Coturnix japonica: one gene and its partners. The protein of the gene in region 3 purifies or fractionates together with the protein of the main gene of each other region. This does not show direct contact. Links are inferred from orthologs where the notes say so. Each region holds a gene or a part of one and is shown on either strand. Other genes may lie near its edges. The genes, in order: ACTL6A, SS18 and SMARCD2.

The links.
Region 1: the proteins of SMARCD2 (region 3) and ACTL6A fractionate together in Homo sapiens (co-fractionation; 5 studies listed by BioGRID and IntAct, with this or other methods). This does not show direct contact. The link is inferred for Coturnix japonica from reciprocal best matches to the Homo sapiens genes SMARCD2 and ACTL6A.
Region 2: the proteins of SMARCD2 (region 3) and SS18 purify together in Homo sapiens (affinity purification with mass spectrometry; 4 studies listed by BioGRID and IntAct, counting the BioPlex papers as one, with this or other methods). This does not show direct contact. The link is inferred for Coturnix japonica from reciprocal best matches to the Homo sapiens genes SMARCD2 and SS18.

What each region holds. Positions count from the first base shown.
Region 1 is NC_029524.1:15,351,402-15,361,298, forward strand, and holds the start of ACTL6A (actin-like protein 6A), read right to left. Parts: upstream 6,100-9,897; 5' UTR 5,962-6,099; coding exon 5,937-5,961; intron 4,964-5,936; coding exon 4,887-4,963; intron 4,667-4,886; coding exon 4,492-4,666; intron 3,888-4,491; coding exon 3,787-3,887; intron 2,652-3,786; coding exon 2,554-2,651; intron 2,131-2,553; coding exon 2,036-2,130; intron 1,806-2,035; coding exon 1,699-1,805; intron 1,615-1,698; coding exon 1,525-1,614; intron 1,337-1,524; coding exon 1,275-1,336; intron 970-1,274; coding exon 855-969; intron 518-854; coding exon 437-517; intron 1-436.
Region 2 is NC_029517.1:93,980,012-93,989,808, forward strand, and holds the start of SS18 (protein SSXT), read right to left. Parts: upstream 9,687-9,797; 5' UTR 9,602-9,686; coding exon 9,533-9,601; intron 6,365-9,532; coding exon 6,288-6,364; intron 5,163-6,287; coding exon 5,078-5,162; intron 1-5,077. UniProt on the Homo sapiens protein: Appears to function synergistically with RBM14 as a transcriptional coactivator. Isoform 1 and isoform 2 function in nuclear receptor coactivation. Isoform 1 and isoform 2 function in general transcriptional coactivation.
Region 3 is NC_029542.1:1,253,474-1,263,270, reverse strand, and holds part of SMARCD2 (SWI/SNF-related matrix-associated actin-dependent regulator of chromatin subfamily D member 2), read left to right. Parts: coding exon 1-28; intron 29-5,677; coding exon 5,678-5,862; intron 5,863-7,275; coding exon 7,276-7,318; intron 7,319-7,714; coding exon 7,715-7,837; intron 7,838-7,951; coding exon 7,952-8,071; intron 8,072-8,263; coding exon 8,264-8,359; intron 8,360-8,977; coding exon 8,978-9,079; intron 9,080-9,324; coding exon 9,325-9,486; intron 9,487-9,771; coding exon 9,772-9,797. UniProt on the Homo sapiens protein: Involved in transcriptional activation and repression of select genes by chromatin remodeling (alteration of DNA-nucleosome topology).

The DNA of each region.
Region 1 (9,897 bases), on a different chromosome or scaffold from region 3:
TAAACCAAAAGGCCTTCCTATAAAACCTCTTGCCTCCCTTTTACTCGCACCTACAAGTTCCATTCAATTGGTTATGTTTAAGAAGTATATTTGCCAGGCCCAGAAACCTGAAGATAACACTTCAAAGTTATGAAAAGAAAATGGCAATCCAATGCATAATCTGAAACCAACCCAATGTACACGATACAAGGACAGTCAGAAACAGACATTAACTACTTAGACAGACTGAAACACTGAGTACGAGTCTAACATCCTGATTTAGCATTTTGTACAACAAAACAGTAAGCCTGTATGTTCCCAGATACATAAAACTTAAGAGCATTATTATGCATTATCATTACCCTAGGAAGTTCATATTCCTTTATCAACCACACTCAAGTAAAAAAATCTAACAGAAATAAATCTATGCCTTCTCCAGGACACATCTGACACTTACCGGCCTGATGTCTATATCACACATCCCAACGCTTGTCGTGACAACGTGACTCACACCCAGCATTGTGTTACCAGATAAACCCTAAAATTAAAATTAGGAATTCGCATCGTCACTGCAAACAAAAGAACCCAAAGTACATAAAAGGATATAAAACACTGAATTAACCTGATTTACTAATGAGAGCAAAACATTCTCATGGAAAGCAAAAAGTACTCTTGTTTTCCCAAGAAAACATGCAGCACTTCTCAGCTCGTTCTTGAACGATGTTTCTTCTGTTACTACCCCAACCCTAACAAATCAGTGCAGACCAATTTAACTCATAAGAGAACCACATGATATAAGCACCACACAAAGGGAAGCCAGGTGATAAACCAGTAATTTAAGGCCTCCTAATTATTACATATTATAGTTGTTTTACCTTTACATTAGAAGGGTCAAATAATCCCTCAGGAATTTTGAGACGCTCAGCACCAAAGTCACAGTTATAACCATTGGGGAACTCGTAATGAACCGTTGGCATCTGTGCAGCTACCCTACACGGCATTCAGAAAGCAACACATTAAGGTACAACATAAACAAGATGTTACCCCGGTATAAACCAAAGTTTCAATGGGAATACTGTGATTTATTTAAATGATGCTTTTGATAATATTATGATCTTATGGAATATTACATAAGCCACCACCTAGACATATACTGTTTCTCTACTTAAAGAAATGAACAGATGTTATTTATCTTTGCTTCATCTCTCAATAAAACAAGCCAACAGCAATGAACAGGCAAAGCATTCCATGCACAACTGTTAACTAATTTCACAAGGAGGAAAACAGTGACATACTGTTCATCATAGGTTGAATCTGATACTTGGAGGACAGAAGCTTGGAAGTCCTGAATGACACACTGTGGAGATAAGAATTATATGGTTACAAGAACGTCAGTCAGTAATTCAATAGAACTTACAGAACTGAATTGTTTTGTTTTGTTTTAAATATTTTCTAGTTCTTGAAGAGGAAAACATCGCATGCTTGCAAACAAGACTTTGTTACAAGATGCCCAGGGAGGCTGAGTTGGAGAAGTGACACACTTACATTACACATGTAGTTGTGCCAAGACCTAGTGACCTGGGGTAACTTCTCTTTTCTCTTCCAATTCGCTGGTGACCCCTCACGAACTGCCTCCTGAGGTTGCAGAGGACATAACTGTCAGTTCACCATTTAAGCTCCTTCCCCTCAAACAAACACTAAGTGAAGTTACTTTCCCACCTTTGAAGCAATCATATATGGAGGAATTATCTCTATATTCATTTCCTGAAACAGTTCTCTGCACTGCATAGTAATGAAGTCTCCTGCTAGTGGTGATTTTACAATACCTAAAAGACAAAAGCAACAACAACCCACCTCACCTAACTTGTAAAGCACTGAAATCAGAATGAACTCTCCCAACACTTACTTATCAGAGACATGGTTGGGTGTTTGGTTTTGTTTTGTTTTTCATATTTAAAAGAATAGATATATTTAAAAGCAGTAGTTAAACTATAAAAGCAGAAAGCAAGTTAACTTGACTTTGATACTGCTGTGCTATTACCCATGCAAACTTTACCTTGCTGAAGTACATATCCATCATGCACTGGGATAGCTGTGGTATGTGTTGCTCCGCTATCCAAGATGAGACCTGTAGATCTCCCATTAGCAAAACTAGTCAAAACTATTAAAGAAAATAGTGTAATTTTCCCCTTAAAAAAGTACCATACAATTTAAGCACAATTAGGAACAAGAATGCCAGTGCTTAATTCCTTGGCTCTACAATCAGGTTTGCTGTTTGCCCAGACACATCACCTTCCTACAAAGTGTGCAACCCCATCAACAGAACTCTTAGCTTTGGAGAAAGATGACAGTCCAAGTCAATAAATCCAAGACAATTCCATCAGTAACCTAAATACGCATCCAACTCATTTAGATTCTAAAGGTGAAAACATGTTAGCACTTGAATAAGGCTACAAATATTCATCTTAAGGCTATAGGAACATCAATGTCTAGTTACAGTATTCAGTAGTTTGGATGACAGCATTTCGGTCCTATAAAAACCACAAAAACCCAGCACAATATTGCAAAGGATACGCTGTTAGAACAGCAGTTTTACACAAGAAAAAAGCAGGGATGTTGTAGTGTTCGAACATCAATTCCGTCAGCTTCTCACGCTTTGCTCTGGTATTCCACTAGAAAAAGAAAATACAAGCAAGTAAATAAGAAGATACACCTATCTTGAGGATTGTTTGAGCATAATAAAAGAAAGCAAACAAAGCAAGGAAGTAATTGGAATTATTTAAGTTGTAATTTCAAATTAAATCAAAATTCTATAGAGAAACAGATTCCTAATAATTTATTTCCTTAGAAACTGTATTGTTCTAATACTACTTCAAAACATTAATACATATCTTCAATATAAGTGCACAGACAGTAAATTTACAGAAAGTAGGCAAAACTCTTGGATTACAGGTCTACTTTAATGCCTTCAGATTTTATGCCCCTCAAGCATAACACTCTAATGTGATAGACAGCAATAACAACAGAGTGGCAAAGCCTTCAGCTACAGCAAATGAGAACCAGCCCAAATAGAGCAGCCATAGACACAGACATGAAGGAAAAAAAACTACTTATCCTTAGAAGCTTCAGGTAAAAGGGATCCCCAACAAAAGACTCTCACTGCCAACCCTTAAATTAGGTCTAGGAAGGGGTTGGTACATTGAATGCATCCCTGAGTTGGCCCTGCCCAGTGATTGAGGTGCTCAATCACTGCTTCAAGCTGTGACTCAGCACTTCCACAACTAAATGACAGAAACTTTGTTCACGTTTTTCTCCAGAAATCTGTGTTCATGCACCTCATTTATGTTACAGGAGCATTTGCTGAAACGAAATTAAAACTCCACTACACGTGTTATTCCCTGTCACGTTAGATGGCAGGCTGATTGCATGCAAAGATGGATTAAGTGTAATATATGAAGACATTCAGACAACTTTTTGCTTTTATTCTGTGCTGTCAAGTGAGGTTATTTTTGATTTTATACTACTTTTTTTTTTTTTTTTTTAAATACATGAAATACAGTAACACATAGTAAGTGTGTTCTAATGAAACGCATAGAAATTCTTTCAAATTTGGGCTTTTTTTTGACATTTTTCCTATTGAGAATACTTTCCAGAACCTGCATGATATTTTTAAATGTTACTTCTGTAGTTCAGTTTTAACACTCATAACCTACAAGCCAGTGCTGGGTTTCTCCAAGACTAATGTCTATAGATTCAGCAAGAAGATACTGATAAGTCTCCTCACAATGCAAAGCTCCTTTTACTCACTGGTGCTTCAGACATAAGGACAGGATGCAAACTCGCTTCAGATTTAATATGCATCTTGTAAGTGTGATCCAAAATTGCCTGGAAACTATCCCAGTCTTCAACTGCAACGACATCGAAGCAAGCAGATTAGTTACTTCTAACTTTTGATCTACTTCATAAATCCACATAAAGTTTTCCTGATGTTTTTTTTTTTCCTAAGAGCTCTTCAGACAAAAGCCGTCCTCAGCAGCCCTATACCCCTCCTGCTTTGCCAAATTCTCATCTATATTTTTTTAAGCATCATGACAGCAAATAAGAATTGTTATTATAAATAATAATAAATAAATAAGTTACAATAAAAGTCCACTGACATTTTGTAAATTGAGCCATTCTTATGGCTGATAGCCTCTGTCCATACACGTTACAGGAACAATATTAGGAACTATTTCCAAAAACTTGTTTCTTAATTGTTTTATCAAAGGAGACAGCTAAATTAAAGCCATCAAATAAACAAGAATCTACAAGTCTCCCATTAAGACATAAAAATGCTCATTATCGTATTAAAATATCTTAAGTGAAAGCAGAACCGTTTCTTTACGAGCCTGCTTTCTAAGTCCAAAGGAAAAAACAGTTGACATGGATAGCATCTGTTTACATGAAAGCTATGACTTGTTGCAGCCTAACAATTGTATCTTAAAGACAGCTAAAAAAGACAGAGCACCATACTCATTCCATTTTTTAAAGGTGAAATGGCCTCCATATTTTCCCTTGGGACTCTCAGGGCATTGGTGTCTATGTAGTACGTTGGGCCCCCTTGTTTGCCTTTGTCACCATCTATCTCCATCAGAGTGCTGCCATTGTCTCTTTCTAGCACCACGCCTATAGCTGTTGGAAAATCAACCTGTAAAGCAAAAGGTAAAATATTGATGAAGGTTATTCATTTTGGATGTGGGTTGTTTTGTTGGTTTTTGGTTTTGTTTTTCATTGGTTTGTTTTTTAGGGGGCTAATAAAATTCAGAGTTTTCCTTAAATAATAATAAACAGTATATTCTGGAAGCTTATGACTAATAAACAAGTTCAAGCTCCAATTGTAATCCCACTGAGTTCATAAAGATTCTTACCTTTGGACAGTCTTCGCCTGCATAGCCTGCTCTCACTGTATACGAGCCAATGTCAAAAACAAGAGCCCCAACTTCATCTGCAAAGATTGTTAACAAAGAAGTAGTGAATGGTTATTGTGCTCTACTGCAATCCTGACCTGAACTTATCTCTTGTCTGCTTTGCTTGCCAGAAAACAAACAAACAAACAAAAAAAAGCCCAATATGATAAAGCATCTTTCCTGAGACACAGAGCAATTTCTCTATTCAGAATTCAAGCTAACTGAGAGCCACCAGGAGGTTACAGATAGGCTGTAACCAGGACACTGCAATACCTTTCATTGGCAAAAGAAAAAGGGCAATTTTAACAGACGAGAGCTGCATCTAAACACAGGCTTGCGAAGCGAGTCCACATGAACTTCATGACATTCAACAAGGCCACGTACAAGGTGTTGCACAGGACTTGAGACTCAGACAGCTGGACATGAGCCAGCAGTGTGTGCTTTCAGCCTAGAAAGCCAACAGCATCCTGAGCTGCATCAGGGGAGGGGTGGCCAGCAGAGCAAGGAAGGTGACCATCCCCTTGTGCCCTGCCCTCGCCAAGTCCCATCTGTTGTACCACATTCAGGCCTGTGGCCCCCAGCATAAGAATGAGATGTTGGAGTGAGTCCAGAGGAGGGTCAAGACAATCAAAGGGCTGAAGCTCCTCTGCTATGGAGAAAGGGAGCTGGCTTTGCTTAGCTTGGAGAAGGTGCCAGTGACAGTTTGTTGCAGCCTTACAGGGAGCTTATAAACAAGAGGGAAACTGACTTTCTACATGGTTTGATAGTGACAGGACGATGGGGAATGGTTCCACACTAAAGGAAGAGATTTAGGTCGCATGTTAGGGGGCAATTTTTCAGAGAGGGCAGTGAGACCCTGGCACTGCTGTGTGTGCCCCATCCCTGCAGGTGACCCAGACGGGTCGGACGGACCCTGGGCCCGCGGCGGCCTCCTCTCCTCACACACGGAGCGATGCGGCGGGAGGGAGCCGGGCCTGAGGGAGCTCAACAGTGTCGTTATATCAGACTCACCTCCGCCGTACACACCGCCGCTCATGGCTGCCCGCTGCTCAGCGCTGTGCTAACAATAGCACTCGGTCTCTCGCCCCGCCGCCCGGCTCAGCGCAGCTCGCAGGCCCGCGCCTTCCCGCCAATGGCAGCGCCGCCGCCGTCCGCCCACCCGCCCGCACTGCAGAGCGTTACCCAACAGAACGGCTGAGTGGGCACAGCGGCCAATCAGAGAAGGGAGGGAGGAGGGGCTTGCTTATGAGTAGCCAATCATGAGGCGGGAAGTGAGGAGCTTGGTAGAGGAGAGTGAGAGCAAGCAAGTGTAGGTGCAGTGCGCGGGAAGGGCGGTGTGAGGAGAGAGGGGCGGGAGGAGCTGAGGGAGGAGTTGGAGGAGGAGCTGAGGGAGGAGCTGAGGGAGGAGCTCTTGAGGTGGGTGTGCCACAGGATCACAGAATGACCCGGGTTGGAAGGGACCACAAGGATCATGTAGTTCCAACCCCCCTGCATGGCAGGGCCACCAAACATACACCTTTACTAGATCAGGTTGCCCAGGGCCCCGTCCAACCTGGCCTTGAACACCTCCAAGGACGGGGCATCCACAACCTCCCTGGGCAGCCTGTTCCAGGGCCTGACCACTCTCCTAGTGAAGAACTTCCCCCTAACATCCAACCTAAATCTTCCCTCTTTTAACTTCAAACCATTTCCCCATGTCCTGCTATTGTCAGCCTTTTCAAAGAGTTTTATAGGTGTTTGCATGAGGAAGATCAGCACAAATCTTTCTTTGCCACTAGTTGTACTGTGTAATGTTGGTGTGCTTTGATTTATTTTATGGTGCCCTTTAATGTGTTATAGTGATTTCTAGCACGTGGCACTAATACCCAAGGTAGAGTTGGTGGAGAAGGATGAATTAATTGCAGTTGGGGAAGGCTGTAAAGCAAAATGGGTGTTAAAACACTGGGGGACGTTTCTTCAGCTTGTGCCTGTACTTGGGCTTTGTTTTCATAGTGGTTCATAACATCCCTGTGGTAACTGATGCTTTGGGGCAGACCCTGCTCTCCCCAAGAGTGGCTTATGATAGCTTTGTGGGTGAGACAGGGGGCCCAGGGGGGTTGGAACTTCATGATCCTTGAGGTCCCTTCCAACCCAGGTCATTCTGTGAGACACCAAGACAGCCGTCTGCTGCTTCATTTATCTGTAACTTTTGCAGCACTTGAGATCTCCCAGTGGTGCCAGCAGAAGAGGCGTGTGGCTGTGCAGCATGGGGAGAGGGCGTTCCTGTGCACGACCAATCTTTCCTGCTCAGCAATTGCCTGGTGCCGATAGTGAGAACTGAATGTATGCTGCAAGTCCTGCTGTTGTCTGGAAGCCTCAGGATTTGGTGAGTGCAAAGATAAGAGACTAAATCTGTGCAAAGAAGCCTGGAGGATCTGGGGAGGGAAGTTCAGGCTGTTAGCTGTCTTAGCCTTGTTTTTTTTTCCCACTGTTTTGCAGTTGTGTTGGTAGTTACATCATGCAGCATCGCCACTGTGTTAATAGTATTATACAGTGACTTTGCATTTACTTTACAACAGTGTGGTTGGCCTCTCAAAATTCAATGCAGAGGAGAAATGGAGTCCAGGAATCTTTTTTTTCAGCTTAAAGAGATGTAAATCTAAGATTATTTCATCGAATTTTTGTAGGCTATCCTATCTAGAGTTCTGCCACCACTGTGCATAATGTAACTGAATACCTTTGTTTTATTTCTTTATTTTTTGCATGTTTTCCACAGAAACAAGAGTTATAAAGTCAAAGTAAATAGAAGCATTGAATGTATTTTATCTGCCATAGCAGTGCTAGGATGCACTGGAGAGTGGAGGGGAAAAAAGAAAAGAAAAATAACCTATACTAACTATAATCTATACTATATAATAAAAAATAACCTATACTATATGCTATACTATATGCTACTACATGTTACTGAACCTGAAGTGGTTTCTGTGAATCCGAACTAGAAGACTTTGGGCCATTTTCCTTGTTCTCAATGTAGTGTTTATTTGCTGAACCAGCTTAGGTGTGAAGCAGAGTTTGCCTGGAACTTGTACTGAGATAAGTTTACTGGGCTAAGCCAGCTCTGGCCAGAACCAACTTAAGTGAGCCTGTATGGCTTTTCTGAGATGAGTCCCTTGTGTACGGATATCTCATTGGGCTCAGAGCTGGCAGCACTTACTGTTTCAGGCTTAGAGCTTGGTCTGAAGTTACTTTGGATTCTTGCAGGGTTTATTAGCTTGGCAGCAGGACCAAACCTGTGCTGGCTTAGTACGTCTCATCTGCACAAACAAAGCTACTTTCAGTTGGGTAGTTGGCTCGGTCTGGTAAACAGAAGATCTTTGTATCAGCTGAACCTTACCATTATGCTGGAGTGTTTTGATTCCTTATGCTTCTTCTCACTGCCAGAATAAAGATTTGGCCACAATAGAATGGGGAGCAAGGAGCACAGGTCTCCCATTTCTTGGGCAGGTAATCTGTCTTTAACCTCAGAAGGCTCAAATTACTGTTCCCAGAGTCCCAGGAGGGTGCTGTGTTGCCTCAGTAGTAGATTTAAACTGTGATACCACACAGCTTAGAATAATGGCTTTGTGCAGCCAGAGGTAAGGAATCCAAAAGTCAAAACTTCTTTGTTGTTTTTTTTACAATCAAGAATGCTCAAGAAAGAAAACAATCTAGCAAGATGGGATGTTGAGTAGAACTAATGTGGGCAAGTCTCAGATGCTTTTAAACTAGTGCATTTAAAAAACTGGATTTGTGCTGCCATTTGTCTGCTTCTGCAGGTGATAAGATTGTAGTGTGCATTATTTTATAGTATGTGACAATACATAACCCAGCTAGAACTGACTGCGTGAATATCTCTATCCTAGTTAGCATCTGATCAGATTTTGCTTTTTGAGGTGCAGACAAGAATAAAAAAACATGAAATGCACAGCTGGAGCAGGTGAGGCCTTTTAAATTGTATCGCTTGGAAGCTGTTTTCAATTGCATTTTTGCATATACCTTAAATATGCCACACAGTGTGTGCCTAGTGCTTTCACACTCAATAGTAGATGTGCAGTCCTAGGTGCTGAAGACACATTTAGCTATTCAAGTCTTGAGGTTGTGTCATATATCCTAAGTGTGGCTGGACCGACTTGGTAGTTGATGGCTTGTCTGAACTACTTGCTCTCAAAGGAAGCCTCCAGTGACTGCAGGTGCAACCACAGTTGGTGGCCTAAATGACTTTTCCCTGTCCTGTGTCAAAATGATTGGACTTGCCCCTGTCCAACCTTGTTGGAAAAACTTGTTATCCATTACTCAGGTTTCTCCAGTTAGGGTGGAAGTCACCCATTGGACTATTTGGCTGTGTGAACTTGTCTCTCATGAAGCTGTGATCTGAGTTGCAAAGTGTTAGACTGCCATGGTGGAATTGGAATAAAGGTGGAGCAAGAATAAGGAATCACTAGTTTTGAATGCATCTGTGCTAAAGGACAGACTGTGTCCGTCAATTTCATAACAACATGGCTGACGCACAATGTCTTGAAATGTTTGCAAGAGTCTGTGATAGTCTCCTCCTAAGACTCATTGGGAAGCCATGTGCTCTGTCTGCAGCTCTGCACCAGAGTCATCTCCTTCCCTTTCACCATCTGGATTTGCCCTGTTGTGCTGCCCAGTGCATTCATGTGAGTCAGTCTCATGTGCTGAGTCAAATCAAGTTGATGTGGTTGGGAATGATTAACGAAGATTTGCAACGCTTTATTTAATACTTAAAAGTATTTTATTGGCTTTTAGTTTGTAACTTTTTATGTGAAATATGCCCAGGACATGCTACATTTATTCTAAAAAAGGTAAGTTTAGTAATACCAAGGAGAAGATTTTTGTGCAGTCTGTGATAATAAATGGAAGGTAGGTGAAATATGCCTAGAAATTTAGGCTCAACAGCAAAATGCAATTGTAGAAAAGAATTAGAAGCTTGGAT
Region 2 (9,797 bases), on a different chromosome or scaffold from region 3:
ACTGATCACATTACAAGACTTCCTCCTCATGAAGAGAAGTTTCTTAATTGTATTCTTCCACGCACTAGAGTGAAACAAATAGAATAAAATCTGATTATTTTTAAAACGTATTTTTTCGCCTAATATCCCGCAAGCATGTTTTTACATATGATGAACACGTAGGCAATCAGTGCTCGTGCAGGGGTAAAAACATCCAAAACCTCACACAAAGAAAATGGAAACAGATACTCATGTGCTGGCCACAGAACCAAGTCAATTAATGGATGCAGATCTCTCTTGTAAGGGCTCATACAGCTAGATCACAGCACACTGTGTTTACAGCTGGTTGTTACAGTCATGCTTAAGAACTAGGCTATTGACAGCAAAAAAGAATTACGTCTCATCTCTAATAGACCCACAATACTGTATCACTTCTGGAAAAATCTCCTTCACCCTTCCACTGAAAGTGTTTAATCTCCAAAATCATTCAAATACAGGGACGATGCAGGACTACTAGAATCGTGGTACTTCAAAATAAATCTAAACGCTCTCAATTTCTCGTTCCTTAGCTACAAAGACAGCCTAACTAGAAGCTACAGACATCATCAAAGGGGTCATATCGCTCTCACTTTTGGCTCACAAAACAGAGTAAATATTTGTCTGAGAGTTACAAAAAGACTTAGATGAAAGAACAACGTTCCTTCAAGATTCAAGATTCCAATTCAAGATTTCCACTGTCTTGAAATCTTCTAGTAACTGTACAGAACACAAACCTTAATTTATCTACGCCAGAGCTGCTCTGGTTGCCTCTCGTTCAAAGAACAGCTGGGAAATGGTCCTTCTGTTTAAGTTACTCTAATGTGAAACTTCACACCAAACAGAAGCATCTAAATTTCTTGTTTTAAAGAGCACAAACACTGACAGAAATCCCCCTTGGAGTGTACCTGCACAATATAAAAATGATGAATGCCACACCATTCCTTTTTTCAGAGATTTTAGCTTGGTTACTATTCTGCTCATCACCCCCTATCTAGGATTTGTCTTTCAAAAATCTATTCTAGAAGTTACTGTATTTCTGAAAACTACTTTTTTAAACATTTAATAGGAGTGATTTTTATCCAAAATTCATGCTTTACCTACAACTAATAGCTCACTTGCTTCATGAGAGGAAACACTGAATCTTTCTTTTACACCCTGATGCCTATTACTTCAATTTACAGTTGAACCTGAGTTACAGAATCACAGAATGACCCGGGTTGGAAGGGACCTCAAGGATCATGTAGTTCCAGCCCCCCTGCCTGGCAGGGCCACCAAACATACACCTTTACTAGATCAGGTTACCCAGGGCCCCATCCAACCTGGTCTTGAACACCTCCAAGGACGGGGCATAATTATTATTTGTGTTTGAGTTATTTGTGGACTTCTGAAATGCTCATCCAGAATAACATACCGTTACTGCTTTCAGCTTCTGTTTGGAAAATAATTTAACCCTGTCATTCTCTATGTGAAGAATTAGGCCCAAATTTCAAAGACTGATGCCAGTTGTGAACGTGAGGAAAGAAAATAGCACTAACAGATTTTCCACTATCATACAATAGAGACTGCCTCAAACATTTAGTGTATAACTTGTCACAAGTCACATGCGTTTAGTATTCCTTTCACCCTTGGGAACTTGAGTTGTACTTGCAAATGTTACTTTAAGTTACTAAAGTTGTTAGATCACCAATTTATCTTAGAACTATTTAGTAAAAACAATGATTTGGACTGCGGCAAGAGGGGAACTACATTGTGAAAGACGGATGGAAGAATCACACAAATCCTAGAGGCAGCTTTATTTATGAGATAAATTTCTCAAGCAAGAAAAAAAAATGACTTTATTAATTTTATTAATGAACTTTTCAATATTATGATATCAAGAAAAAAAATGTAACAAGACGCATACATTTTCCTGTAACTCGAGCACTGTGTTTCCTTCACATTTAGAATTTAGTTTGCTAGCAGAGTTAACTCACTTTAGTAACAAAGTACAAATTATTAGCCTTCATTTTCATCACAATCCTGAAGTGCACACAGACATCAAGAGCTCTGTGCGCTGTGTAAGAGAAACAATGAGAAACTTCTGAGTTTAAAAAGACAGAAAGTCCCCTATCTAATAATTATTGTAGACCTCTCTATCTGCAGTTATAAAAACCACTAATGTGTACACGTGTAGGACTGACCTTCTCCTCTTGTTTCTTTCAGAAAAGTTATCATGAGTGGCTCTCTCATGAATTTCCAGTAAGAAGCAGTGGGACAGGAGAGGAAAAAGGCCTGAACAAATAAGTCTAATTTCATTCTTTACAGAAAGGGTAGTTAGGTACTGGAGTAGGCTCCCCGAGGAGATGGTTGAATCGCCATCCCTGGTTGTGTTTAAGAGCCGTTTGGATGTGGTGCTCAGGGATATGATTTAGTGTAGGGTTTTTAGAGTTAGGGTTCTGGTTAAGCTGCGGTTGGACTTGATGATCTTCAAGGTCTTTTTCCAACCTGGGTAATTCTATGATTCAGCAGTTGGTAATAACCTTTTAATGCCATTATCTCAAGAAATCCTAAGAACTAAAACAAAGGCTGAAGAGAGCAAGATGTAGTTCTAGACATCACATAGCTTCAAATTTCCTTGCACCTACTATATCAGGGGGAGGGCTGGAAGTCCCAGTAATGACCTTTAATTGCATCTACTGTTCAAGGACACCAATATTTTGGTGTTACTTCCCTTGAAAATAGACCAAAAGAAACCAAATACATCTGTATAGCAAAGAACACAAGACAAGCTCTTGTTGGGAAGCTTACCCAATATGGTGATGACAAACAGATTTTCCACTGCTGTCGAAGGAAAGCACCTGTAAACTTAGTAAGATGCAACAAAAAGTTGCATCAACTGCAGACTTAGCCACCACTCCCATCCTGTTCAGAAGACGCTACCCTGAGCAATGCTGCTATTGACACTGCCGTGGCTGGTCAACTCAAGATTAACCTCATGCTTCCTTTGTATTCCAATGTGCAGGCAGCTCTCTTGTAACTGGAGACACGCATCATAAATGTTGAATATTACAATATACAACTGAAACAAGAACTTTATTACAATATCAGAACATCTTTCCAGCTCTCTTCACTCACAGCCTCCAATGTTTACTTCGTCTACTACAACTCTTAAGCCCTCTTAAATTATACGAGAAGCTACTGCAACAGCAATACTGTGACATTTTTATATTCTACTACTTAAAAGAGAAAAGGAGGTGTTCACACACATTATCTTGCTTCATATTTCATTGGTGTCAGCCACAAAACTTGAATTTTACTAAGACTGTTCGAATGCTGCCACAGAAGTGTGGTGAACTGAAACGTAACACTTCATCAGCTTCCTTAGGTCTTAAGTGAAAAACTAAATGAAGCAAGCTTGAAGAAGTTTATCTTACAGTAAAAAAGCAGTAACTCACACGTTCCCAAATCCTCCTGGCTAAACCTCATTGGGAAGATAGATTAAAGAACAATTTTTTCCAAAACCTTCAACAAAAAAGTTGTTCTTATCTGATTAAGTTACTTCATTTCAAGCAATTCTTCAACAATTTTACTTAGTAGGTGAAAGCATCTATGCTTTACTAAGACTGAACATCTAAGTTTAATTGTGTATTACTTTGTATTCCCTGTCCAGTTATTCAAAGCAGAAAAAATGCTATACTATTTTGTCATTGCTGAAAAATATTCCTTACACTGAGGAGCAGAAACGCACTTCAGTCCTGGTCTGCAAAAACCTTTCATGGCCTTACCCTCACTTTTTTCTTAAGAAGGGAATGTCACCACATTCAACTCTAAGAACAGGGCTGTGCACCAGGGACTAGAATAAGGTCAAATTCATTTCCACTTGTCATCAGAACCAGGATATGAATTAAGCCTCCAAGAACATATTAGCTGAGTAACATACACAGCCCTCTTAAAGGTTTCCTTCCCTTCCCCCCACAGCTACAAGCTTGGATTTATAAAGAGAAGCCTCCACAGGCACAACAGGTTGGACATAATGAAGCACCGTTTCTATAGTCCTCTAGGTACCAACTTGAAAAGATGCTTCGCTAGTAGCAATGATTGGAGAACACTTCTCCAGAGACCAAAGAAAAAGTAATTCAATTTCAGTTGGTAAGAACTAGTATCTAGGAATGGCTGTTTTATAGACATTCTTTTTAGCTTCATATTACAGAAATGAATCAAGACTATATTAATTCAAGAAAAGTCTTATGACTAAAAAACAAAATAACTTCCTTGTGTTACTCGCAGTGAACTCCCAGAGCTTTCTGATTAACACATAACCACAGTCAGATAGCAAGTTACTTTAATGCTCATTGTATCTTTCCTTGCCACTCCACAAACAGAAAAAATAGTGGAAAAATTGGTGGTGTCTTTTGAAATAAAAAGTTCGGTGATACAGAGAAAATACAGATTATTTTTTAAAAAGAAGCAAGTATTATCCCAACAAATGCTTCAATGCCAAAGATATGCAGTGTTTCAAGATAAACCCACGCAACCTTATTTCTTGTTCATTAGCACTATCCACAATGCATAGAGGTTGCTTTACGATAAAGGAGAGAAGAAAAGAATTTAAGAGACCCACCTAAAGTACCTCAAAGCTGATATTTACCCAACCCCATTCCATGAAAGCTGAAGAATGGATGATATTCCAGCAAAAAACAAGAAGTAAAACAAAACTAAACACCTCACTTTTCCCTGATGTAAGGGGAAAAAGAGACTACTGTTGTAAGAGCTGACCAAGAGCCACACCAGGAGACTTCTTAGTTGAGAAAAATCTAAGTCATCTGCAAGCCAAGCCAGACATCCTGCATGCACAACATGCTTAATCCCAGAATATAAGCCTTCAATTAAATAACTCGGATTGTGAGCATAACATAAGCAGTGAGCTAATGAGACTTATATGACATGAAGAGACATTCCATCTTGTATTCACTGCATAGTAAATTGCAGACCGTTTGGACAGTTTTTCAATCATCTCCCCCTCCCCGTGAATCCAAATTATTACACCTATTTCCTCAGTGTTATGCTAGTTTGTACTTACTGCTGGTAGCAGAGACTGCATGTTCTGGTTGGAGTCAGCTATAGTAGCTAGATAAACCAAGTTTGTGTGTAGCATCTGCTGGTATCTACCAAAATGAACAAAGGAAAAAGAGGCCTTAAGTCACAGTGTGTCAAGAAACAACTTCCAACAACTTACAAGAGTACTGTTCTTAAGAATTCTACGTGCTTTCCTCACATCTCCCTACTGGCCAACCTTTCCCAATTTTTCTGCCAGATCTGGCTTGCTTGCCCTCTACAGTTTCTGTATTGCAAATTAAACCTAAAACATGGTGACCTCAACTGTTTCACTTCCTACCCTAAACAAAGTCACAAGCAGGCATTTAGAGTACGTGTCTGTATGATGTCATTTCCAACAGAAACACTATAAAAAGAGCTCTCTTTCCCTAATGTCCCTAGATGTGAGGTATCATATCGAAATGAATCATGACCAAGGACAGCGTAAACATTCCATCAGGACCGAGACCTGGATATTCACTGTTCAACTTTTTTTCTGCTGCAGAACTAAATTCCAGAGTATCCACATCCAGCCCAGAGTCAAAAGAACAAGCCTGTAAGCAGGAGCAGAGTAACTACAGGCTTGCATACAGCTTAATATAGTAACTCTACTCATATCAATAGAAGTAATCCCCTGAAACAAAAATACCTACCATTCATCATTCCAGCTTTCCTCCCACATTACCAGCCTCTTAGAAAGGGCCTCAACAGCCACATTGTGATAACCCATCTGTCATCACATGGAGGAATATCTGTCCAGGTCCACAGCTGTCTCACCCTCCAGAAACTCCATTAGACAACAAGTTTACATGGTATATTCTGGCAAGCCAAACTTAAGGTGGAGTCTGTTTGTTCTCAGGCAAGTGATAAACAGCAGAAATATTACATCGTTTCGAAAGGTCTAAGAAGGAAACTACCTCCTTTGCAAACTGTAATTACAACACAGAGGTAGATCTCTCAGTTACACAGTCCCCATTTTTCTGTCATTATGCTATCAACTTGTACTACTCAAGTTGCAATGTTTCAGTGATGGAAGTGATATTTACACAGCAAAGAAAAAAATTAACTGCATTATTTGCAGCAATATTTTTCTACTGTTCTCAGCGTGGTCCTCCTTCAAAGTGAGCTAAATAAATCAACAACTGATCTAGATGGAAATCCACCCAGTCCACAGTAGATTTGGATTAATGTCTTACTGAGAGCATTCAGATGTCTTCCCTTTGTTTTGGTAGTCCATTATACACTGAATAAGATGGTTATTTTCATCCAGCATCTGAAAGAATAAAGAAATCTGAGGTAAGTGTAACATTCTTTACGGGAAAAAATAACTGAAGGTAAGTTGTACTCTTAAAAGTTTGATTTCTTTTTTAAAATAAAGAAAATTAACAAAATTTAAACAAAATTAGTATTCCAGAAAGCCCTTCTTTAACCAGTTACTTACATCTTTCGCTCTTCCTCCTTAGTTTTATAGGTTCCAGTACGAGGGTTTTAAGTCATTATTATAAATACATTTATGATGTTCCCTATTTAAGTACTTACATTCTAACTACAAGAAGTTCATGGGAAGTTTTCTGAGTTTTTATGTAATCTCAACCAAAGAACAAACTTGAAGACTTGGGGCATAAATCTTCCTTCTCCCTCTGAAGCCCACAATCCAATAATAAAAGGCACTGTAATGGTTAACTGATAGAAACTGAGCTTAACATACAAGATTGTTTCAAGGAAATGCCTTGAAAAGTAAAGCCAGATTTACATTACAAATGTTCTGTATAATTACACGCTCTTAAAGCGTGGTTTAACCAGCACAATAGACAATATTTCAGAAGCGTTTGGGAATATGAACACATACTAATTACTTTTCTGGGGAAAATAAAGTTCTAAAACCATGGGAAACTGCAGGTCTCACAGCCTTCTGCAGGAAGTACATGAAATAAAGATGTTCTATGCTAACAAGCAGGAAAAAATAAACAGCCTAGTTTCACAGAATCACAGAATGACCCGGGTTGGAAGGGACCTCAAGGATCATGTAGTTCCAACCCCCCTGCCTGGCAGGGCCACCAAACATACACATTTACTAGATCAGGTTGCCCAGGGCCCCGTCCAACCTGGTCTTGAACACCTCCAAGGACGGGGCATCCACAACCTCCCTGGGCAGCCTGTTCCAGGGCCTAACCACTCTCCTAGTGAAGAAAGTTTCCCAAACTTGCACATCCTCATGCTCATATCTCTGTCTTAACCACTCATCTGCACTCTGATCAGGCAGAAGTTCAGTAAAACCAAGGCAAATCTGAGCTACCAACCAAGTTATCCAAGCCTGCTCAGCTAAGTGGAAAATCTTACATCAATTTCTTGGTTTCCCCAGTGGAAAACTAGTTCAGATCCTTGCAGCCTATCAAGTGTCACATCCTAGATCTGCAAATCTGGTCACTTCTTCTCTCCCCTTACAATATGGACGTGACACTCAGCTACTGAATTTCACAAAACTAATACGAACTTAATCATCTTTGAGGCTCTTCCCATCTTCTGAACACCGAATCAAAACATCACAAATCAGAATGTGGCTGAGATTAGCCAAGTTTATGATTCTACAAGGGAAGCACAAGCACTATAATTACATCACTTCCATTTCCCTGGGGATCCAACTTTAGCAAATTCTACCAGAAAAAAAAGACAACTTCTTTGTTAATCCTTTTGACTAATCCACCTCTACTACAAAGGTCATAAGCCTTAGAACCTTATGCAGTCCACTCAGGATTTACATCCAGATAAGAATAAAGCAAAGAGTTGAGTCTTCCCTAAACTCAAACTAGCAATTCACCAAAATACAGGAGAACAATCAGTGAGAAACAGATCTTTCCTGAAATTGCTAGACCTGGAAACATCACCCGTAAGCAGGAACCACAGACAGAACCACAATATTCCAAGTTTCTGAACTCCTGACACTATGCAGAACTACATCTGCAAACTCCTAAGAGGATCCCGGACACACTCCTACACTGGCACACTTCATATGTGCTAACATCAAGTGTTAAGGAAACCCAGTGGCCAAATTCAACAGAAAAAGAGAACGGAGAAAAAGCAATTAGTATAATTTATACAGTACACAGAGTACTTGTAAGGGAAGCCTTGAATGAAGGACCTCCTCAAAAAGTCTCCAAGCATCTAGAGAAAGGCAGCATTTACTTAAAGCATGTTAGCACCTGGAGTGGTGATGTGCTGAACAAGCTGCCCAGAGAGAGAAGCTGTGGGGCCCCATAACTGAAGGTGCTCAAGGCCAGTCTGGATGGGGGCCTGGGCAGCTGAGCTACTGGGTGCCCACAGTACATGGTGGGACTGGGTGGGCTTTGAAGTCCCTTCCGATCTAAGCCATTCTACAATACAGATAGAAATCAGAACTGCCAGCGAGATGGTTGTTCTCTCCACTGTGGCCATACAGGCTGGACATCTTTAGGGAAAATAAAGAAATAAAGCTAGGAGAAAAGCAGAGAAAAACAAACAAGAAGGAATACAGTTGTATGCCTGACAGGACTGAAAGCACTGTTTTATATGTTTTTTATCAAGCTACTGCTGATGGAAAACCAGTTCTTTGAAGAAGTTACAGACACCTGCCATCACAAGACAGCCTAGTTACTGGCTGGATGAAGGCACCTTCAAGACTCCTGACAACTTACATGTGCCAGTTACAAAGATTCTCCAGCTTTAGCTATAGCAGAGTTCTGCCAGTACACTAACATCAAATTACTAGCTTGACTACAGCACAAGAAAAACCTAATTATCTACATTCTCACACTTAAGTAAGTGACCTGAAGGCAGCTTTCTACCTGGTGGATATGCATTTCCCACCTTCATTTGTGAAGCACAGACTGTTGTGGTACTGTGCAAGGTTCCACTGAAGTCCCATACCTTCTGTAACGCCCTGAACTGCAAAACCCTCCCTGCTGACACCCACGTTCTTTCTTAAGCCACAAGCTGATTGTATCCGACGAGCTCCCACACAAGGAGCCTGCCATCATTGAGTGGGAGAGATCCCAGAGCAAGAATTGAGAGGGCCTCTCATGGAAAAGAGCGAGGGCCTACGGTTAAGCTCCAAAGCACAGCACTGAACTCCCTCACCCCCACCAACACGGAATACTCAGTGTTAGTACATACACACCACAGGCACGCTTCCCTCTCTCCGCAGCCCTGTCACGGCCGCCAGCCATACCGCTTCCCTTTAAGCTTTAGGAGAGGAGCAGAGCTGGAGAGGGCCATGTTTCTCAGCGGCCCCAGCACTCTCCCCACGTAGGCCGAGCCCACAGTTACGCAGGGCCCGGCTCTGTTTTCCATGACGGCCTCGCACAGCGCTTGCAGGCCCGCAGCCCTCCATCGCACCAAGGCCTCAGCCTCGCTCCGCTCCACCCCGCCGTCCCGTCACGGCGCGAAGCCCCGAGCCCTCCCTCACCTTCTGGATGGCGGCCGGCGTGATCTCGCCCTTCCCCCGCTGCCGGGGGGCCGCGAACGCCACCGACATGTCGTACAGGCCACAGCAGGGCCCAGCCCGCGCCCACCCGCCCGCTCACGCACAACCCGCGATCCGGGAACAGAGCTGCGAGAGGGCGGGGAGCCCGCACAGCGGGACGGCCCATCCTGCTCCCGCCGGGGAACCGAAGTTGGGCCGCGAGCTCCTCCTCGCTTTTCAGCAGCAAGAAGGTAACCATGAGGGGGAC
Region 3 (9,797 bases):
GATGGGGCCTTCGGGAGCGCAGTACCAGGTGAGGGCGGGCGGGGGGCGGCTCTGTGCTCTGTATTGGGGATGGGAGGTGGGAGGTGGGATTGGGGGGTTACTTAGAGGCCTCCAAAGGGGCCGTGGGGGTTCAGAGGCCTTTTGGGCCCGGAGGAAGCGGCGCTGCTTCCTGAACGTGGGGCCCTGGCGGTGGGGGGGGAGCGGGGCTCCATAGGGGCGGCTGTCCTGGCCCCCCACCCCCATTAAAAAGTTAACGGAGAAGTGTTCTGCCCTATGGAGGTGGTCCCGTACCCCCCCAGGCTGTGCTGTGGGGGTCCTGGCCCAGGAGGGTCCATCACAGCCATCCTTGTGCATTTCCAGCTCCGGAGATGGAGCTGTGATGGTGAACGTTAAAGGGAAGGAATGGGGATAAAGGGGAGTAAATGTGACCCGCTGCAGTGCTGGAAGCTGTGGACTCTGCTCTCTTTCTGCTGCCTTTTCTGCTGTTGGTTCAGCCCCCACGTGTTGTGGGGTTGTTTATGGAGAAGCCTCGTTCTGCGATGAGTTCTGAGTTCCAAACCGAAGAAATCCAGTCATCCACATGGGGGGAATTTCCAACTGCTGTATCAAAGGAGGAGAAACAACCCGTGAAGCTGAAAAACCCCGAAGTGAAAACTGAGATGAGCTCAGCCAGGCCAATAGGGCCCTGCATTGGCTGTAATGTGACTCAGAGCTATAGGGAGGCTTCATCCCGACCTTCCCAGGTTGCAGAACCCAGCGGGCATCGCTCTGTTGTGGGTAAACAGGGGCACATATGTTTGCTTTCACCCCCCCCCCTTATCCCATGCTGGCCATAATACTGCACTCATGGCAGGTGTTGGGAGCGTATGGATGGGGTAGGGTGAGACTGGGAGCATATGGCAGTGCTGCAGTGTTTGGGTAATGCAAGTCGTTGTTGTCGTGTCTGGCCGGCAGTTTGCTGGCACAGGGAGGGGATTGGGGGCTGATCGATCCGGTCTGTCTTTTGTTTTGCAATTTGCAGGCCTGTTTAAAGCAGCTCCTCCCCACCAAGTGGTCAAAACTGCGGTGCCCGCAGGACTTCTCAGGGGGTAACCAGTGAGTCAGGCTCCTTCTGCTGCATTATGCTGGCTAGGAGAACACAGCAGCCCTCATGTATGGCAGCGGGTGCTTAGGGGCTCTTTAATCAGTGGATTATTAAATGTATGTTAATCCTTTGACATCCCTTGCCTGCCTGGCTATGCACCAGCAGCTCAAGAAGGGAAATGGGGAGGACAACTCACTCTAGCACTGATGTTTCCAGAGCAGAAAGGAGTGGGAGTGTGTTCATGCAATGGGCGATCAGCTGCACGGTGGTGTGTCCACCCCCATCCCAAGGCTCAGGTTAGCATAAATCCATCAGGAGTTCCCTCTGTTTGTTGTAATGGAGGTTTCAGGCTTGGGAGATCCTTCCCGAGTTATCAGGTTGATGCTGTGGTAGGGAATGGGCTCAGCTCTGTGATGCAGTGGAGGAGGGGCTGTGCAGAATGGCCTTGAGGTTGCCCTGTGCTGTCGCTTTGCTGGCGTAGATCAGTGGCAAAAAAAAGAAGAAGTGGAGTTAATGAAGTGCCCCGTTAAAAGCATTTCATTGGCACTTGCTGACAAGCAGGAATCCCATTTCCGTGGGACGGAAGGGCTGTTGCAAGCCAAACAACTGCTAACAAAGTGATATTGGAGGAAGCGTGGCTGTGCATGGAAGGAGTTGGAGCTTTCTGCTTCCAAACAGACCTGCTGGATCCCATTAGGAGAGGAGAGCTGGGTGCTTGTCCCATGGTTGGCCTGGGGACGGCAGCAAGGCTGGAAGTGCAGCACACAGCAGGGATCTGCAGCTTGCATTGCTGCATGACCCACCCTTCCCAGTGGGGGACTGTTTCCAAGGCAGGTTTCATCAGAGGCTGAGCATCCAGCAGAATGAAGCCGTGACACAAAGCAGAGCAATGCTGTGCTCTCAGTGCTGGATAGAAGCAGGCAGCAGCAGAGCTCAGGGCACCCTTTGTTTCTCCTTAAGGCTCATGGAGGTTCTGCTCGGTGGGAGCATCTCCAAAGCTTCCTGCTGGAGGCCTTTGCTCTGTCTTCCTCCATAGGGACCCTCAGAGCCTTTCCCTGCACATCTGAGCAGTGTTTTCCACTCTTCCCATTGCTTCCCCCTTTGTATTACTTGAGGCTGCCACGTTTTCAAGCAGGAACCCAACACCTTTCTTCCTTGTTCCTGCTTGTGTTTAAGGCATAAATCCCCTGAGTTCTTTCTCTGCCTGCTGCAGCCTCTGTTCCTTAGGTTGCTCTTTGTTTTACACCTCCTTCCCCCTCTTACCCTGTGCTCTCCATGGCCATCAGCACGAGGTGAAAGTCCCAGGCTGTAACTCGTGCATCCCTTCTGTTCTCTTGCCAAGTCCCTGCGGTGTGGAAGCTGCTGAGAAAACTTCACTTAATGTGGCCTTTCCCCTTCAGTGTCAGCATGGCTGCTGGGTCCTGGTGTGAGCGCTGCAGCCTGCACTGCTTGCAGCCCATGACCTGGATCATCTGCAGCTGCAAAGCCACACGTGGGCAAGTTTGCCTGAGCCCAGATATCTCAGCTGGTGCTTGACGTGTTGCCAGCACGTGTCCTCAGTCTGCTCGGCTTCGCTGCCTGTTGCTTTGCTGTCCGCTCTTTAATTTAATGCTTCCTCACCAAGTTTTGTAGCTGAGGCTCCTGCTGCTGGAGCACTGGATTGCAGCTGATCTGAGCATCGCAGCAGCCTGCCTGCATCCAAGAGCTTGCAGCGAAGGACGGACGCCTCACCAGCAGCAACAGCTTCCTGCTCATGTTCACTTTGTCTCCTCCCCTTGCAGGATGGGGTTTGCAATGCAAGTGTTTTGGGGTGTGCTGCAGGGGTTTCAGTTCATCCCAAGCAGTGCTTTTGTTGGGGCTGAGCAGCCCAGTGCAGAGCTGGGTTCCTGTTGTTGGGGCAGGGTTTGCTTTAGCCCACACCACAGCAGGAAGTGATGTGGGATGCACAGGGGGGGCTGGCAGGAAGAGCTGCCCCCCGGCACCTTTTGGGTGAGGACACACACATGGGTTTTCATTCCCCAATTATTTAGTGGGTGCCAAGAGCAAACTGAGTGGAAATGGGGCATTGCATCAGGACAGCTCGATGCAGTTTGGGGGGTTTTATGAGCCTTCCTCAAGGCTCTGCTTGGGGAGCCAGCAGGGAGCTGCTGGTGCTCAATGCATTGCAGCCTTCTTGCATGCTGGGGAGCTCACACCCTGCTCGTGGTCCTGGCATTGCCACAGTGGGAGGGGTGAGCTCAGTGCAGGAGGTTTGTGCAGCACCCCCTCACTGCTGGGTTCTGGAGAGAGGCTGATTTCTGACTTACTGCTTTTCTTCCAGCGTAATCTTCACCCTTCTTGCAGATCTATCCTTCAATGTTATGGCTGCTCACCACCCCACCCTCCTTTATTTCCCCCTTTCTGCTACCAGCATCTGCTTTCTGGCCTGTCCTTCCTCAAGAAGAGGCCTTTGGCACGCTGCAATGCTCCTGTCATGCTGCAGACTGTCCATCAAGAAGCATTCCAGCCCCTGCTTGCTCCAATTGAAGCTGACTCTAAACAGAGCTCCCCAAATGCAAGAGGCCTGTGCACTGACCTGGGATGAACCTCTGCTCCGCGGCCAGCCCGATTCGTTCTTCCAGCTTTGGCAGGGAACAGAAACAAGCTGTTTTTTGTCCCATTTCCAAATGGCTCTACTCATTCTCTGTGGGGAGGGCTGGATGCCATCCAGCTCTTTCCTGCTTGCGAGATTTTGCCCTTTGTCCGCCCTGTTGGTGGTGGGAGGAGGAAGAGGAGGAGGTTGTGGGGCAGAGAGGGGAGGATGAAGAAGCATCTGATAGGGGTAGGACCACAGTGCTGCCCCAAATGAAGGGGAGAGGATATCTGTTAGCCAGGAAGGATATAAGGAAGGTCACCATTTGAGCTGCTCTAATAAAATTTCCTGAATTTAAGCCCTCTTTGCATCCTGCTCAATTTGCAGGGCTTCTCAAGGGTGCTGGAGGCTTCACCCTGCTGGGGCTGTAATGCTGCTTAATGGCTTAGCTGGGGATTTATGGCTGTGCTGTGTTTGCGTGTCCAGAGCCGAGGGGGCTGTTTGCCCTTAGCAGGACTGCATGGCCACAGCAAAGGCTGCCTTGCTTTGCTCAGACACTTTTCCATTGCAAATCTTGAGGGCAAACTGAGAAATAGATGCACATGGAGGATTCCCCCTTCCCTTTTTTCCTATTGGAGGGGAAAAAAGGCGAAATGACTCCGTTCTGAGGGTTTCCATATGTCTTTGCTGCTAATCACAAGTGTCACAGCCTCTTTTCTTGCCCGTTTGTTCTCCATTAGCCCTTGCAGGCAAATCAACACGGTTCCTGCAGCGCCCATCCTGCTGTAGCCATGCACAGCCCCAGGCAGTGCCTTGCAGCGAGCAGAACCCTGCAGACAAAGCCTGTGCAGCCCTGTTTGCAGCGAGGCATTGCCAAAAACGGGGCTGATCAAAGGGAGCAAAACATCTGGGGGCTGTTAGGAAAAGCTTGTGTGCCTCGTAGCTCAGGCAGGTTGGCGAGCAGCTTCAAAGGGAAGCCAAGCAAAGGTGAAAGCAGCAGATGGTTGTGCAATGGGTTTCGTGCGTGTACTTGATGAATTCCTCCTGCAGTCCCCATCCTGCCACCTCCTGGGCTGCTGCTCTTTGGCTTTCCAGCTGTGGAATGCTCCTCCATGCTGAAGCTGGTGTATTTTGGGGGTTTCCTGCTGGGTTTGGCACTTGGGAGGGATGCCCGTGGCTATGGACTGTGGAGCAAGAGCTGTTCATATATTGTCCAGCAGCCTCAGCAATTCTGTTGTTTGCATTTATAGGCTTTTGGGCTATTCCAATGAAGGAGGTGAGTGGGTTTTGGCTCCAAGCACCCACAGTGTGGCTCTGAGCCTGCCTTTAAAAGCTGCTGAGGCCAGGCTGGCTGCTGCTGGTGATCTTATGTGGGATTTGCACTGGAATTAATGCCTACATGCAGATAAGCTCGTCAGCCTGCAGCATTGCCTGCGGCTGAGCTCTCCTTGCTGGACTCCTGGCCCCTTTGGGATAACGAGTTGGCTTTGCTAGCTCCTGTGCACCGAAGCTCTGTGTCTGTCTGCAGGATGTGGGTCAGAAGGCAGCAGGGGAGCTGCAGGAATTGTCTTGGCATGTCAGGGAACCTGCAGAGGGGAAGAAATGCTGTTCTGCTGGCTCGGTGGCTTTCCCAGCTTCACCAGTTCCTTGCCAGGGGGGAGCTGGAGGATCAGAGAATAACAGAGAGCAGGCAGAGCGTGCTGGAGCAAGTAGGGCTGAGCAGCAGTGGGGTGCTGGGAGCTTTTGTTGAGCACACAAGGGCTGTGCATGGGGCAGACCCAGAGTCAGCTGCTGATGCTGGAGATAGAGACCACAAGAACTGCTCCAGGCTGGAATTCATGCAACAGAAGTTAAACATCCCACGGGGGGGGGGGGTTGTAAACGCCCTGTGTAGGTGCCTGGAAGTGAAAGGATTCAGCACTACATCCATCAGGAATGAAGGCCACCCTCCTGATGTCCTTGCCCTGGTTAAGGGGCCCATGTTTAACACCCCCCTCTCTTGTCTCTCTCTCCCCTGCCAGCGCCCCGGGATGCCACCAGGCAGCCGTATGCCCATGGCAGGGCTGCAAGTGGGACCTCCAGGAGCACCCCCATATGGAGCAGCATCCCCACTGCGACCCGGCCTGCCACAGTCCATGATGGATCCCTTCAGGAAGCGTCTGCTGGCTCCCCAGTCCCAGCCACCCATGGCCACCCAGAGGAGAGGGTAAGGGCTGACACAGGAGCACCCTCAGCCAGTCTGGAGCGGAGGGGTTCACTCTCTACATCTGGTTGCTGTTTTCTGGTTGCATTTCTCCACTAAAACCTACAACATGGCCCAGTTGTTGGCACCGCAGCTGGTGGGAAAGCAGCCAGGGCTCAGTGCTGGGGTGGTGGGTCAGGCTGGGGTGCATCACTTGGCATGCAGCTTCCCCATGCTCTGATCTCCCCAATGCTAACCAAACAGCTGAATGCTTTAGCTTAAGCAGCAGCTTGTCAGAACCATTCCCTGTTCTCAGGGGCTTTGTGCTGTCCTGGGCAGGCACAGAGATAGATGGACACTCAATTCCCAGCCCTGGAAGGAGACAGGCAGAACTGCAGAGAGCTTCTGGCAGGTTGCAGGGATCCTCCCCAGATCTGTGGCTGTTTACTTGGGATGGTCTCTGTGAGCCATGAGGTTTTGCCAGCAGCTCCTCGCTTGTTTATGATGCTGCTAATCCCTCTGCTCTGTTCCTGTTTCTGTGAGGGCTTCTAGATTACTGGAGGTTATTCCTCAGGGTCCCTCAGTCCTAATGGATGTTCTGGTCCTGTTCCCTGCCCTTGCTGCACAGTGAGGCTGATGGCTTTATGATCCCTTTGCAGGGAGTGACCAGTGTCTCTATGCCAGGGCTGTGCATCCATTCTGTGCTCCAGAGCAAGCTGGGGATTAAGGACACAAGGCTGATGGGTCCTCGCCCACTGAACAGGGACGTCAGCAGCTGGATAAAGCTGTGGCTGCGTGGGATCAGCTGTGCTGGGGAGCTCAGGGCTGTGCACAGAGCTCTGCTGAGCTTCCCTGCTCCTGACTGGCTGTGGAAGGAAGGGGATTATAAGGGTGGCAGCACCAGCCCTTAGTGGCCAAATCCTGGGATGCCTCAGGATGGCAGCAGTAGTGCCACATTTTAGTGCCACATTTGCTGCCCTGTTGCTTTAGGTACTGTCAAGGGAAAGGAACTGTCCTGTGCATGCTGGGCTATAACGTAACTGTGAAAAATGGGGCCAAGTAAGAGAGCATTTTCCCATGTGTTTCTCTCTGTTCCTGGGGTACAGTGTCTTATCCACTTGCTTCCAAGGTTTCTGCTATTAGTTGCTTTTACAGCCTTTCTTCATTCCCTTCCTGCAGTTCTGAAATGCCTGTCCTGTAGCTGATGGGGGCATTTCCCCTTGGATCACGTTGTTTGCTGCAGTAGGATCTTGGAACCTGGCTTGAACTGATCCATCCCCATGGCATCACAGCACTCCCCAAAGCCTGGCCCCATGCATGGCCTGGGTGGGGCCAAAAGAGCCCCCACGCTGTGTCCCCCAAGACAGGCAGCCAATGAGATCTGCAGTGTCCTGAGGTTGCTGCAGGATGATTTCTTTTACTTCATTCTAATTGCAGGGTGAAGAGGAGGAAGATGGCTGACAAAGTCCTGCCACAGAGGGTGAGTGTCACTTTGGTGCATGGAAGGAGTTGACGATGAAACCCCCATGGTAGGACGATCTCATTGAACCTCGTGCTGCATGATGAATTGGATGAAATGCCTGGAACGTTTCAGTCTTGTAGGTTAGAGAGAGGGATGTGCACAGTTAAAACAAGCAGGGCTTTGGGTGAGCAGGGAGCAGCCCTGGCTTGCGATGCAGACCTCTGGTCATTCCCAAGCTTTTCTCTTGGGGTTCCTCTTGACAATGCAGGGTTATAATCCCTGCCTGTGATGTGGAGCAGGTACAGTGACAAGCTCCAATCAGTGCAGCTCTGTGGGCTGGTAAAGATGCTGGGCTTGAAATGGGATGCAGCACCACCTTCAGCACATGAGGGACTGACTTTTATCATTTGATAGATCCGGGAGCTTGTCCCAGAATCTCAGGCCTACATGGACCTCCTGGCCTTTGAGCGCAAGCTGGACCAAACCATCGCTCGGAAGAGGATGGAGATTCAAGAGGCCATCAAGAAACCACTGACGGTGCGTGGCTGGCCAGGAGGGCAAGCAGCTGAGGGAGGGTAGAGGTAGGAAATGGGAGCTTGCAGCCATCCTCTCGCTCCAAGCATCCCCACTCTTTGTTTTCCTATTCCACAGCAAAAGCGGAAGCTGAGGATTTACATCTCCAACACTTTCACCCCGGCCAAAGAAGAAGGGGAGGGTGGTGAGCGTGTGGCCTCTTGGGAGCTACGCGTGGAGGGCAAACTGCTGGAGGACGTAAGGATCTGGGCAGGGATCAACGTGGCAGTGGGAGGAGGGCTGAGAGCTCTGGTGCTCTGTGCTGAGAGCCTGGCTGGGATAGATGCAGCCTTTTTCTCCCTGGCTGCTGGAGGCAGGCGGTGTTTTGGGCTGGGGCCCTCCATGGTGTTGGCAGCATCAAGGCCAAGCCTCGCACGCAATGTTTTGCAGCCAAGCAAACAGAAGAGGAAGTTCTCCTCCTTTTTCAAGAGCCTCGTCATCGAGCTGGACAAAGAGCTGTACGGGCCAGACAACCATTTGGTGGAGGTGAGATGTCCTTGGCTGCACTGCGGGGCTGCACCCCAGGAGGGATGAGAGCTGTTCAGTGCAATGGGAGGTAGCCCTGCTTACCCAGCAGTGCTGAGCCATCCCCGAGGATCACGTTGCTGTACTTCCTAGGCTGCAGTTTGCAGCTCAGTGGTGCTGGCTGGCAGCCCGGTGAGGCCAGCCCAGCCCCTCTCACCTGGATGGCTCCCAGCTGCAGGCTGCTTGCTCCATGATAGCCCCAGGGTTGGTTCTTAACTCCCTCGTGTCCATGGGTGGAGCTGGGAGGCATCTGCTCTGATGGATGGCTTGGGCAGCCCCAGGCTCCTTCAGTTTTGTGACTGTACTTATGGCAAATACTGATTCCTGTGGTGATACCCCCTTGTTGGAGGTAAATCCCCATTAGGTGGGATGGTTTGTGAGAGCTGCTGTGGCATCGAGCCCCTATAGTGGGTGAAGCAGGACTGTGATCCCACAGTGACTCTGGGAGCTGTTTGAGCAATTGGAATCAAGCATTCAGCCCAATCCAGTGCTCCCGTAGTCCACCTGAACTGCCTACAGCTGGGCTGGAGCTCATCAGTGTTGGTGAAACCAAGTTAAACAGTGTCCCTTTATTCCTAGTGGCACCGTCTGCCCACGACCCAGGAGACTGATGGCTTCCAAGTGAAGCGTCCTGGCGATGTCAATGTGAAGTGCACCCTGCTGCTGATGCTGGATCACCAGGTAAGGCGTTAGCAGTGCCATGCTGCCCTCCAGCACAGCTGAGTGGGCTGAAACAAGCTGGGGAGGGTCTTGAATGAGGGAGGCAGTTGGGTAATGTGCTGTGATACAGAACAGGGACAGAAAGCAGTGGAGAGGAGCTCTAGGAATGAGCCCTCAGCCTGCAGCAGCACGAGGGCTGTGCAGGACACTGTGCTCACTGAAGGGCCACATGCCAAACATGCCCTTAATTCTGCATGTCCCTGCAGCCACCACAATACAAACTGGACCCTCGCCTGGCTCGCCTGCTGGGGGTGCACACCCAGACCCGTGCCAGCATCATGCAGGCGCTCTGGCTGTACATCAAGCACAACAAGCTGCAGGACAGCCACGAGAAGGAGTACATCAACTGCAACCGCTACTTCCGACAGGTGAGTCCACGGCTCTCCTTCACCTCCCTCTGGGATGCCCTTGCCCTCTTGTTTCTATGTGGGTCCCTGCTGGGGAGGAGAGCACCATTCCCCATCCTTCAAAGCCAAGAAAAGCATTTGTTCCTGGCTTGGAGTGGTCACTGTCCCCCTCCCCATGCTCTGTTGTGCAACTATCAGCTTGGCATGCACAAAGCAAGGTTGAGCAAAACCTTGTTCCTGCTCAGGTGGGTGGGTGGAAGGAGCCCCTGATACTGGCAGCTAAATGCTCTGCTTTTACCCCTCCAGATCTTCAACTGTGTCCGTATGCGCTT